Linked DNA regions of Macaca mulatta. The protein of the gene in region 1 purifies or fractionates together with the protein of each later gene. This does not show direct contact. Links are inferred from orthologs where the notes say so. Each region holds a gene or a part of one and is shown in the gene's direction. Other genes may lie near its edges.

Region 1 (3,646 bases):
AGGGGTAGTCTGGTGACTTAGGTCCTTCACCCACTGTAAGATTAGAGCCTCATGGGGTCACACAGCCTGTAAGTGGGAGAAATATATCTCAACCCCAGGGCCAGGCCACTTCCCTGAATTTCTGTCTTGAGGTACCCCAGGCAAGGGTAGACCCCCAGAAAAGCCTTGAGGACAAGGCCAGGACTGTTAGGTCGGGTCTGCTGTCCACTGCCCCGCACTGACCATGTTCCTCACCCCACAGAGCGTTTGCCAAGCGGCAGCAGCAGCTGACCGCCATGAAGGTCCTCCAGCGGAACTGCGCTGCCTACCTCAAGCTGCGGAACTGGCAGTGGTGGCGGCTCTTCACCAAGGTGCGTGGTAGAAAGGCCTCCTGAGTAGCTGGGACTACAGGTGCACAGCACCATACATACCTGGCTAATGTTTTGTAATTTTTGTAGAGGTGTGGTCTCACTATGTTGCCCAGGTTGGTCACAAACTCTTGGGCTCCAGCAGTCCTCCTACCTCAGCCACCCAAAGTGCTGGAATTACAGGCATGAGCCACTGTGCCCGGCCCTTTTTGATTTTTGGTAGAGACAAGGTCTCACTATCTTGCCCAGGCTGGCCTTCCTGGCCTTTAAAAAAAAACAACTCGTTATTTTTAAACTTGTCCGGGCTGCTTTTGTGTATAATCCATAATTTATGGTAATGGCAAAAAGCCAACTAACAAAAAGTCTAAAGAATTAAATAAAAATTCACACATAAACCCTTACCCTAAACCAGCAGCAGCAGCTATTTTAGTGTTTATTCTCTCGCTCTTTTTCTCACTGCCTATAAAACCTCAGCTATGTAAACAGTATGCATTCTTCCATAGCTGAGTTTGACTCGTATAAACAGTATTGTAGTGTGTACGTTCCATTTACGATTCCTTCATAAGCATCGTTTTTTTAGAGGTAGCGTACTGTTCCCTAGGGGCCACGTCATTATCTGGGTACTTTTTCAGAGATGGGTCCTTCCTCATTTTCTTGCTGTTATAAACAATGCCGAGGTGAACATCTTCACACGCACGCAGGGATAGTTTCCCTGGAATGTAGTTAGCAGGTCAGAGGCCCGTGGTACAGAGCACCAGATGGATTTCCAGGAAGGCTGTAGCCCCCTCCACAGCATGTCTTCTTGCCCCTCACTTTCATGTTTCCAGAGGTGAGGGAGAGGCCTCAAACTTGTTGGCAGAGGCGGGCATCTTCCAGCCAAGCATGTCTCTACCTCCATCTCCTCTCCCAGGTCAAGCCGCTGCTGCAGGTGAGCCGGCAGGAGGAGGAGATGATGGCCAAGGAGGAGGAGCTGGTGAAGGTCCGAGAGAAGCAGCTGGCTGCGGAGAACAGGCTCACGGAGATGGAGACACTGCAGTCGCAGGTGGGTGTCAGCGCAGGCTCCGTCCAGGTTGCGTGACCTGCCCGGTGCTGCCACCTGCTGGCCATCGGTAGGCACGGCATGCTGGCCTCTTCTGTTACTATAGGGGTTTCCTACGACTGAGTTTCCTATTACTGTGGGAACAGTGATCAGTCTCTGCAGACTGGATTTGGGGTTATGTGATGTAGGGAGGCCACCTAATAGAATGGAACGTTCACCAGTGTTGGGTTCAAACCTCAGCTCTACCACATGACCTGAGCCCGTTTCCCGGGACCTTGCTGTGGAGCTCATGGGGTAGTGAAAAATCAAGGACACGATGTCTGGAAGGTGCCTGGAAGCTTCAGAGCTCTCCAGATGAAAGCTACTCTTGTCCGCATGTTCCTTTCCTGCTGGGATCCTGAGCCACGGCGTCCATCTTTTGAGGATGGAGTGACTTGCGGGTGTTGCGAGGAGCTTGTGTTTTCCACTTGCTGTTTGCAGCTCATGGCAGAGAAATTACAGCTGCAGGAGCAGCTCCAGGCAGAAACCGAGCTGTGTGCCGAGGCTGAGGAGCTCCGGGCCCGCCTGACCGCCAAGAAGCAGGAACTAGAAGAGATCTGCCATGACCTGGAGGCCAGGGTGGAGGAGGAGGAGGAGCGCTGCCAGCACCTGCAGACAGAGAAGAAGAAGATGCAGCAGAACATCCAGGTTCCTGCCTGTTGCACCCGGGGAGGAGTGGGACTGGAGGGGCAGGGCGGGGCAGAGAAGCAGGGACCAGGAGCTGGGAGAACATGGAATTAGGGTCTGAGGAGGCCGCTCCTCACGCTGTGTGCTTGGGGCACTCAGTGAGAGGTGTTCCCTTTGGGCTGGTAGTTTGTGACATGTGCATCTGAGATCTCTCCATGAGTACTGCCTGGGCCAGCATCAAGGCCAGTTTGATTTCCCTGCCATTAGCCCTGGCCCTGGCTAGCCAGAGAGGCACAGGGCCAGCAGCTCTGCATCCTGCCTGTTTCATGGGTGGGAGCTTGCTGCAGGAAACCCTTCAGAACATTGCACCGGTGTTCTGGCCCTGTGTCCCAGTTTGAAATCTGGAATCCTACAAATAGGGCTTGGGCCCTGCCTCGGGTGTGGCCCTGGGCTTGCAGACCTTGCTGTCCCCACCTCAGCCATGACCCTGGGCTCACAGACCTTCGTATCCTCTCCTTGGTGTTCGGACCTGGCCTTCGGACCTTGCTGTCTTCACCTTGGCCATGACCCTGGGCCTGCTGTCCTCACCGTGTCTCTGGCCCCCGGCAGGAGCTTGAGGAGCAGCTGGAGGAGGAGGAGAGCGCCCGGCAGAAGCTGCAGCTGGAGAAGGTGACCACTGAGGCGAAGCTGAAGAAGCTGGAGGAGGAGCAGATCATCCTGGAGGACCAGAACTGCAAGCTGGCCAAGGTGAGGCCCGCGGCTGCCGCCTGCAGCTGCTCCAGGGAGGCCGTGGATGGGAGAGTGTGGTCACCCTTGCCGGGCCGGACCCCAGCCCTGCCGCTGCTGCTTCCTGGCTCTTCCGCCGGCAGCACGAGGGTTTCTGCCTCGCTGCAGGTGCTCCCTGGAGGTCCCATGGGCCATCGTTGAGGGATTTCCTCATAAACGAAGGGGCCCTGGGGAAGGGTTTGTCCTTTCCCCTCTGGAAAGCTCTTCTTTGCCACCCGTGAGACCCAAGCCTTTGTAAAGGTGGCCATCTGTGCAGCATTGCAGGCGTTGGTCACTGTGGGGTTGGGGACACTTTGGTGGCTCTATATTGAGATGTGGGGTACTCCTCCACTGTCCCTGGGCGGCAGCCGTTCCTCCTGAGAATGAGCTGGTCCCTGTCAGTGTCTGCCCAGGGAGCAGATAGCAGCCGGGGAACCAGATAGAGGAGAAGGCAGCCTCCCCACCTTTTGGGGCTCCTCAGACCACGGGAGCTCCAAAGGCTGAGGTGGCAGGACGTCCGCCCGGGACTGGGATGAGAGGACTGAGGCGCTTGTGCCAAGCTCTGGCCCCTGGGCAGGGGTGTTGTGGGGGCCACACAGAACAGAAAGCAAGGAGAGCAGCCCGGGGTACCGCGGGGCTAAAGAGGGGGAGGGGCTGTGGCCCCCCTGGCAGGTGAGAGAGGGGCACGGAGAAGGTGGCCTGGTGGCGCAGGTGAGCGCCGTATGGCAGCCTCCTGAAGGAGTGGAGCCATCTGTCCCTGCTGACACTAGCTGTCACCTGGAAGCCTTTCTCACCCAAGCCCACAGGGGAAGGGGAAGGGCTTGGGCAC
Region 2 (3,471 bases), on another chromosome or scaffold:
CGCCCTTCTCCGCAGTCCTGGAAGAGCTCCCAGGGCGGAGGGGTGCAGTGCAGACGACTGTCCGCAGGGCGGGCGGTGGCGGGGCGCAAGTTGCGCGGAGGGAGGTGAGGCGGGAGCGTCTCTGTCGGCCAGGGCGTAGTCAGTGACCTCACTGCACCATCACCCCTCACCCCTTGCGCGCGCCCCATTTCCCCATCCTCCCGCGGCCCGCCCCTCGCTCACCTCTTCCCCCGCATCGCCGCTTCGGCTCCTTCCGGGATCGCTCGGCCCTTTCCGCCGGGCGGCCGGGCGGTGAGCCGGCGGGAGCACCGCCCCCTTTGCTCCGCCGGCGCGCTCCCCCGCCCCCCGCGCAGCGCCGGGGCGCTTCCCCTTGCGCTCGCGCCCGCCCGCCGCGGGAGCGCGCGTAGCTGCCTATAAAAAAGGCTGGGCGCGCGCGTCGCCGCCACTACCCGCTGCGGAGTGAACGGCGCGGAGCGGAGGCCGCGGAGGCTCCTCGGTCCTGCAGCACCCCCTCGGCCCGACGCACCCACGCCCCTCACCCCACGAGAGCCGGTGAGAGGGGCAGTCGGGGAGCTCCGGGAGGGAGCGGGGCCCCGGGCAGCCGACCCCCGGGCGGGAGCTGGGCAGCCCTTAAGGCGGGGCGGGGCCGGCGCGCGGACAGGTGAGTCGGGCGGGCCGCGGCGCTGCCTCCATTCGGCTGAGGTGCCGGGGGAGCCTCTGCCGCCTCTTTTGTGGCGCGTGGGCTGCGGAGGAGCAGCCGGGCGGACGTTCGGCGCCGCCGCTGGAATGTCACTGACTGGGGGGAGGGGGCGCGAGGCCGCCGGGTCCCTCCCCTCCACCCCCAAGCCTGGCTGCGGCGCGGCCCTGCCCTGCCCCATCCGGCTGCGGCAGGTGGGTGGGGGCTCCCTCGTCGGGATCTTCGCCAGCCGCCTCCCTGCAGAACGCTCCCCGCACCGCCCCCGGTCCCTTCCCTCGGCCGGGAGCGACTTCTGCAGCTCGTTCTTCCGAATGGCACCAGCAATGCCGGCCAGCCGTGGAGGGAGGAAGAGCTCGGGGAGCCCGAGCGTAGCGTAAACGGCTCTCTGACCTTAATTTCATCCTGCCTGGCGAATCTCTGCCGTCTCTTTGAACGCAGAAGGGTCTGAGACTGGCCGTCTCCTTTTCTTTCCTTGTAATAAACATTTTTCTTTCTTCCCAGTTGTGATTTGCTTGTAAATAATAGGTAGATGCGGTGCTTGTATGGTATGAGGGTCAAATCAAATAACTTAATAGCTTGGAGTTCGTGTGTGTGTGTGTGTGTGTGTGCGTGTGTGTTTCCTGGAACTGGGTCTTTCGAGTCGAGATACAGTGTCCAAAATTCTACCATACCAGTGTTGAATGATAGAACAGTCTTTTGTTTGAAAGCTATCCCTGAGAATTTGATTAGACGCTTCCCATAGAACATCGCTTTAAAAAGTCTCTTTCATGTACTGGAGTAAAATATATTTTAAACAAGCGCCTTGTTAAAGTTAAGAGTTGAATATGTTTTAAATGAAAAGCCTGAATAGCTCAGAAGGCTGGGTTGAGATGATGATTGAACTGTTACAACATCTAATCAGATCTCTTTTATATAATAGATCCTAAAATATTTAAGCCCTTTGTTCTGTCTTCATCATGGTATTTTAGAAAAACTTAACCATCATGGCTGTTCGGGAATAACAGAAGTATTTTCATAATGTGTTGAGAAATTGCGTCGTCATAGCAATTGGCCTTAAGTAAAACAGAATGTATCAAAGATGGAAGGGTGGGGGTGTCTTGGAGCCAGGAAACAGAAAATCTGGGGAATAGCAGCAGGAACACTCAGCTATATGAAGCCATTGAGCCAAGGTTCCGACTCCTTAACTAGTCATTTATTTTCCCTTTCATTGCAGCTAGCTAATGTCTTAGATTTTGAAAGGTCAAATTGAAGTCAAAGTTTAATATGTGCTACGGGGAGAAAGAAGTGCTGCAGTAAGGGCCTCTGTGCAGGAAATTAGCAATAAACCTTTTTCAGTAACTGGGCCAATAATTACTCAAAGGGAGCCTCAAAGTGTGTTAACTGGTATCCAGGGACCTAGATGGAGAAACTGGAAAGGAGGATTTGCTTCATCCTGGACAAGTGTGAAGCAGTTCTTATGGCAAACCATCAGCCTAGTAACTGATTCTCTGATACGCTTTGGTCTTGGCAGTGTATTTTGTAGCCATCTAATAATTGGAGAAATTGGATATGTCATAGGCTACAGTGTAAGCCTGTCAAGCAATCTGATGAAGAGGTGGACATGGGGAGAGCCGTTTTAAGTATGTCTTTTGGTTCCCTGGGTTAAAGTTTTTTCTGCTTTTTTCTTACCTGCCTTCATCCAAAGTGGGGGGTCAACTGCACATCCTGAAAAGTGGATCTCAGGAATAGTCCCCCATGTCCTGTCACTGCGGAATCTACACTAAGAATGGATAATGTGTTCAAGGCTGGCCTGCCTTTGTAATCAGTCCTCCGTGGGCTATGCAAGGATCCCGCTAGTTAGGCACTCAGGTCTGTTGCAGCATTATCAGCTGCGGCTGTACTGTAGAATGCAACGCCCTAGTGGCAAATGCTGACTCCAGGAATGCGGAGGAGGAGGAGGACCGCATAGTTCATCACTTGGGGCCACTTGACTGGAGCAGCTGTGCTGTGAACCATCACCTCTCTTCCACCTTTTTTGCATATTCCTCTTGTACCAATTTTGAACAGGAAATAGTATTTTGTGAAGTAAGTGTACTGGCAAGCTAGGCCCAAGTCAGATCTTTGTGGCTTGAGTTCTACTTTGTGATAATTTCATGCAGTCGTGCTCTTTTATTGCTGAATGGAAGGGGATTTAGGAATCATCTTGTCCTGGGATCCTCAGGAGGAGGGCGTGTTTAGTTTGAAAAAGTATATTCAGTATTATTACTTTGACAAGTGGGGAAATTGAGACCCAAAAGAGAGTGAGACTTGACCAGTGCAGCATATCCAGATAGTAACTGCCAAGACCTGGGAACCTTGGTTTTCTTTCCACATTTTAAATCCCTTGTGGGATTTAGACGCTATACAGAATGTCAGAGAGAAGACACTGAGAAAATATCTGAAGTTGGATTTTTAATCTGTATTCGTATGTTTTTAAATATCTGTTTTCTTCATAATTTTGTTCCATTTGCCCTTAGAAGCTTATCTTGCTCTTCCCCCTCCCTCTTTAGACTCCACATTCCTCCATCATGTTGTCATCGTTTCGTAAACGCAGAGTACAGGTATTTGACCAGCATGCAGAAAACGGGTTGCCTTTTTGGTTTTGCCTGGCTTGCAGTGAAGGCATATTTGTGTCAAAGAGGTTGAATGAACCAAAGAAAGGGGGAAAAAAACCCTGCCTGCATGATGTTTCTGTTAAACAAATTGTTTAGGATTTGTTTGGGGTTTTTTTGGTGTTAAATTATCAGAAGTATTAG
Region 3 (3,746 bases), on another chromosome or scaffold:
GACTGAGGCAAGAGGATTTCTTGAGTCCAGGAGTTTGAGGTTGCAGTGAGCTGTGATGACACCACTGCACTCCAGCCTGGGCAACAGAGTAAGACAATGACTCTAAAAAAAAAAAAAAAAAAAAAAAAAAAAAAAAAAAAAAACAAGGCTGGGTGCCGTGGCTCACTCCTGTAATCTCAGCACTTTGGGAGGCTGAGGCAGGCAAATCACGAGGTCAGGAGATTGAGACCATCCTGGCCAACATGGTGAAACCCCATCTCTACTAAAATACAAAAACATTAGCCGGGAGTGGTGGTGCACACCTGTAGTCCCAGCTGCTTGGGAGGCTGAGGCAGGAGAATAGCTTGAACCCGGGAGGTAGAGGTTGCAGTAAGCTGAGACTATGCCATTACACTCCAGCCTGGGCGATAGAGCAAGACTCCATCTCAAAAAAAAAGAGCACAGAGGAGTGGGAAGCAAGTGCCTCTGGTGCAGGGGTGGAGCATATGGTGGGAAGGGGAGGGAGGTGATGGGAAGGGGAGGGAGGTGATGTGCAGGGGGATTTCCTCTCCTGGCCCTGCCTTTCCTGTCAATTTCGGGCAGCCCAGGTGACCAGGCCCTCTTCCACCACTGTGTGAGTCACCACCTGTCTCCTCCACCCAGGCCTGAGTGTGGCCGATCAAGGTACGTGCTGTTACTAACATGTTCCTCCGAACACAGCGTCAACAATTAGTAATGAATGAGGCCAGACCCCCTGTGTCACCGGCTGCCGGAAAGCCAGCTCCAGAGGTGCCATCAGCCCCAGCTCACGGCCAGGGCTTCCTTCCCAGCCATGCCTGCAGACAGGCTCCTGCTCCAGGAAATAGGACCACATTCTTAGGAGGGACATGCGGAGGGGAAAAACAGAAAGAAAAACTGCAGGAGGAGGCTGACCTAAGGCTGCCCAGACAGGGAGTGGCTGTGAAAAAGTCCAAGGTTTTCCTCAAACATTCCACAACGGTCTATAGACACTGAAAAAGCAGTGAGAGAGAAAAAGCCTTGAGAGAGAAACACAGGTGGAAAAGTGATAAGACAGCAACAAGTCCCACTTGCTCAAGAAGAGAAGGATTAGGCTTATAGGTAAGCAAGGAAGGAGTCGCTCCAAACAATGTCATGCGTGGGGTTCCAGGGAAATTTCTGTACAAAACCACATTAAACGTGAAGTCATCAAGCTGTTAGAAATGCCGAGATCCTGCTTTTAGACTGTGTAAAGTGACTAGTAAACGGCAGTTAGCTAGTAGTCGTTATCGTTATGTTATTTCTCTGTGCAAATACCCCCAAGAGACTCAGCCGGTTGCACACTTTCGCAGTCTGACTCAGCAAATATGTACTGGGTGACTTCCATGTGCCAGTAACTATCCTACATATAAAGACCATAGCAGTGAATCGCTGGGGTTTCTAACGCACCCATTGATGACGCATGGGTCACGCCTCAGACTAACTTATCAGACTGAAGAGACAGAGACGAAGGGAGAGAAGAACGTGCAGGCCTAGGTTTGGGGAAGGTGGGAAGTGCCTCTAGCTGCTGGAAGTCACCCACTACTGGGATGTCAGGTGGAGAAGGGCAGCCTGTAGGTTGGAGAGAGGAGAAGAAAGGGGTTGTTGGAAAATCTGAAGAGAAACATGTTGATTTTTCCCATTTTTGTTTGAGACTGGGTTTAGCCATAGCCAGCGTTTGGAAAACCACCTAGCTGCTCTGGTTATCCTGCCCAAAGGAAAAGTCACCCAAAGTTTGTAGATCACCGAAGTTTTTTCCTTTTTTTCCTGAAAATAGAAATGTCGGGGGTGGGGGGAGAACAGTAGGCTCAGGCAATGAGGAGCAGAAGGAGGGAGAGATTCAGTTTGTGTTGGGAGGTTCCACCTTGCCATCTGTGCACTGTTACTCCTCCTTCCAGAGCCCATGAAGCAAAATGGAACAGAAGGAGCTACACCCAACAGAGCAGGTGGCTGGAGGAGCGGCACAGGAAAGCCTGGGAGAAAGCTGATTTTCTATTCGGATGTGTCTGGCAGCATCAACCATACAGCTGCAAACCAGGATCGATTTCAGAGCTCACGGCCTGGCCACACGTGTCAGACACCTATGAACTTCTCATGGAGACTGTTCACCAAGAAGCATGAAGACAGCGCAGGTGACTGGAGGTGGCTCCCCAGGTAATACTGACATTCTTGTGCTCACAGGTTTTGCATCTGGGCAGCCAGCTTAATAGCGGGCCTTCGAGACATCCTTGTCTCATCTAAAGAAACATGAGGGCCAGGCGTGGTGGCTCATGCTTATAGTCCCAACACTTTGGGAGGCTGAGGTGGGAGGTTCACTTAGGGTCAGAAGTTCAAGATCAGCCTGGGAAACATGGTGAGACGTTGTTTCTACAAAAAAAAAAAAAGTGTTTTTAATTAGCTGGACATAGTGGCACACACCTGTAGTCCTAGCTACTCAGGAGGCAGAGGCAGGAGGATAGCTTGAGCCTAGGAGTTCAAGGCTGCAGTCAGCTATGATTGTGCCACTGCACTCAAGCCTGGGCAACAGAGTGAGACCCTTTCTCTAAAAAAAAAAAAAAAAATGCGGGTTTTCTATCATCTTTCCCTATGCACTGCTTGTGTGGGGTTTACCCTGCCAACAGAGTGAACTCTCTAGCATTCAGTTTAGGTTCAAGCACCATTCAAACTTTATAATTGAAGATGACAGAAACTGGAAAAGTTCCCTCTGGGAAAATGGCATCGTCTTTTTGGTGTATTTATGCTTATGTGGAGAGTATGTGGGGAAAGGATAATGTACTTCTTCAGTTTATTTGTAACTAAGGGACTTTCAAGTATTGTTTTTCTTCAGTAGACTTTATTTGTGAGGATGAGAACTGTGTTTCCTGCTGCGGATCTATTTGAGAAATTAGAGCAGTGTGGATCAATTTCCGGTCGCGGTATTCTTTGGCTCCCTGTTGGAGTGTGTGTTATGAGAATGGAGACCAGCATTCCTCCTCCGGAGCCTGTTCCAGCCCAGCCAAATTCCCCGGGAGCCTGGCACCCGGTCTGCTTACACAACACATTTTTAGAGTCTGAGTCATCCTCGGGTTTTCTTCTTGGTATCACATTGAATTCAACTCCACAGCATCCCATTACCTTGGCCTCTCCTTGTACAGACAGGTCGGCTTCACAGGCTTCCCAAGCACCCCGCCTTCAGGAAGCAGAGAAACCCAGGCAGATAAAAGGGTTGCATATATTAGACACCCACTCACCTGGGACAACCAGGGATTAGGAACAGCGATTATCATTCCCAACCCCAGAGAACGCACACAAGGCTGCCCGAGGCAACATGGTGAACCAACTCCAATTCATCCAGGAGGTTTTAGCCTCTCCTTATGTCAACACCAGCTGGCATAGTCTTCTATCCCCACTAAAATGTAATTTCTTTCCTTCTTTTTTTTTAGAGACTGGTCTTGCACTGTCACCCAGGCTGGAGTGCAGTGGCACCATGATAGCTCACTGCAGCTTCAAACTCCTGGGTTGTTCAAGCAATTTTCCCACCTTGGCCTCCCAAAGCTCCGGGATTACAGGCGTGAGCCACCATGCCTGGCCCTAAAATGTAATTTCATGCAACAAGTGCTTGCTAGCATTTTTTTTGGAGTGGGGAGGGCCCAGTGGGAGTAGCAGGCACTGGTCTGTGTGCTGGCGCTATGGTAATGAATGAAATAGGTGGGTGGGTCTGCTCCCTCATGGAGGTATTGAAAGCTGCCTTG

The links.
Region 2: the proteins of MYH9 (region 1) and SPTAN1 fractionate together in Homo sapiens (co-fractionation; 3 studies listed by BioGRID and IntAct, with this or other methods). This does not show direct contact. The link is inferred for Macaca mulatta from reciprocal best matches to the Homo sapiens genes MYH9 and SPTAN1.
Region 3: the proteins of MYH9 (region 1) and ENKUR purify together in Homo sapiens (affinity purification with western blotting; 4 studies listed by BioGRID, with this or other methods). This does not show direct contact. The link is inferred for Macaca mulatta from reciprocal best matches to the Homo sapiens genes MYH9 and ENKUR.

What each region holds. Positions count from the first base shown.
Region 1 is NC_133415.1:15,262,404-15,266,049, forward strand, and holds part of MYH9 (myosin-9), read left to right. Parts: intron 1-241; coding exon 242-350; intron 351-1,257; coding exon 1,258-1,389; intron 1,390-1,866; coding exon 1,867-2,073; intron 2,074-2,661; coding exon 2,662-2,799; intron 2,800-3,646. UniProt on the Homo sapiens protein: Cellular myosin that appears to play a role in cytokinesis, cell shape, and specialized functions such as secretion and capping. Required for cortical actin clearance prior to oocyte exocytosis. Promotes cell motility in conjunction with S100A4.
Region 2 is NC_133420.1:19,116,228-19,119,698, reverse strand, and holds the start of SPTAN1 (spectrin alpha chain, non-erythrocytic 1), read left to right. Parts: upstream 1-1,049; 5' UTR 1,050-1,171; intron 1,172-2,577; coding exon of another isoform or gene 2,578-2,643; intron 2,644-3,225; 5' UTR 3,226-3,243; coding exon 3,244-3,276; intron 3,277-3,471. Other genes in the region: uncharacterized protein LOC114672723, read right to left, coding at 223-1,049, 2,578-2,643. UniProt on the Homo sapiens protein: Fodrin, which seems to be involved in secretion, interacts with calmodulin in a calcium-dependent manner and is thus candidate for the calcium-dependent movement of the cytoskeleton at the membrane.
Region 3 is NC_133414.1:26,496,147-26,499,892, reverse strand, and holds the start of ENKUR (enkurin), read left to right. Parts: upstream 1-1,374; 5' UTR 1,375-1,565; coding exon 1,566-1,572; exon of another isoform or gene 1,573-1,589; intron 1,590-1,913; coding exon 1,914-2,169; intron 2,170-3,746. UniProt on the Homo sapiens protein: Adapter that functions to localize a calcium-sensitive signal transduction machinery in sperm to a calcium-permeable ion channel.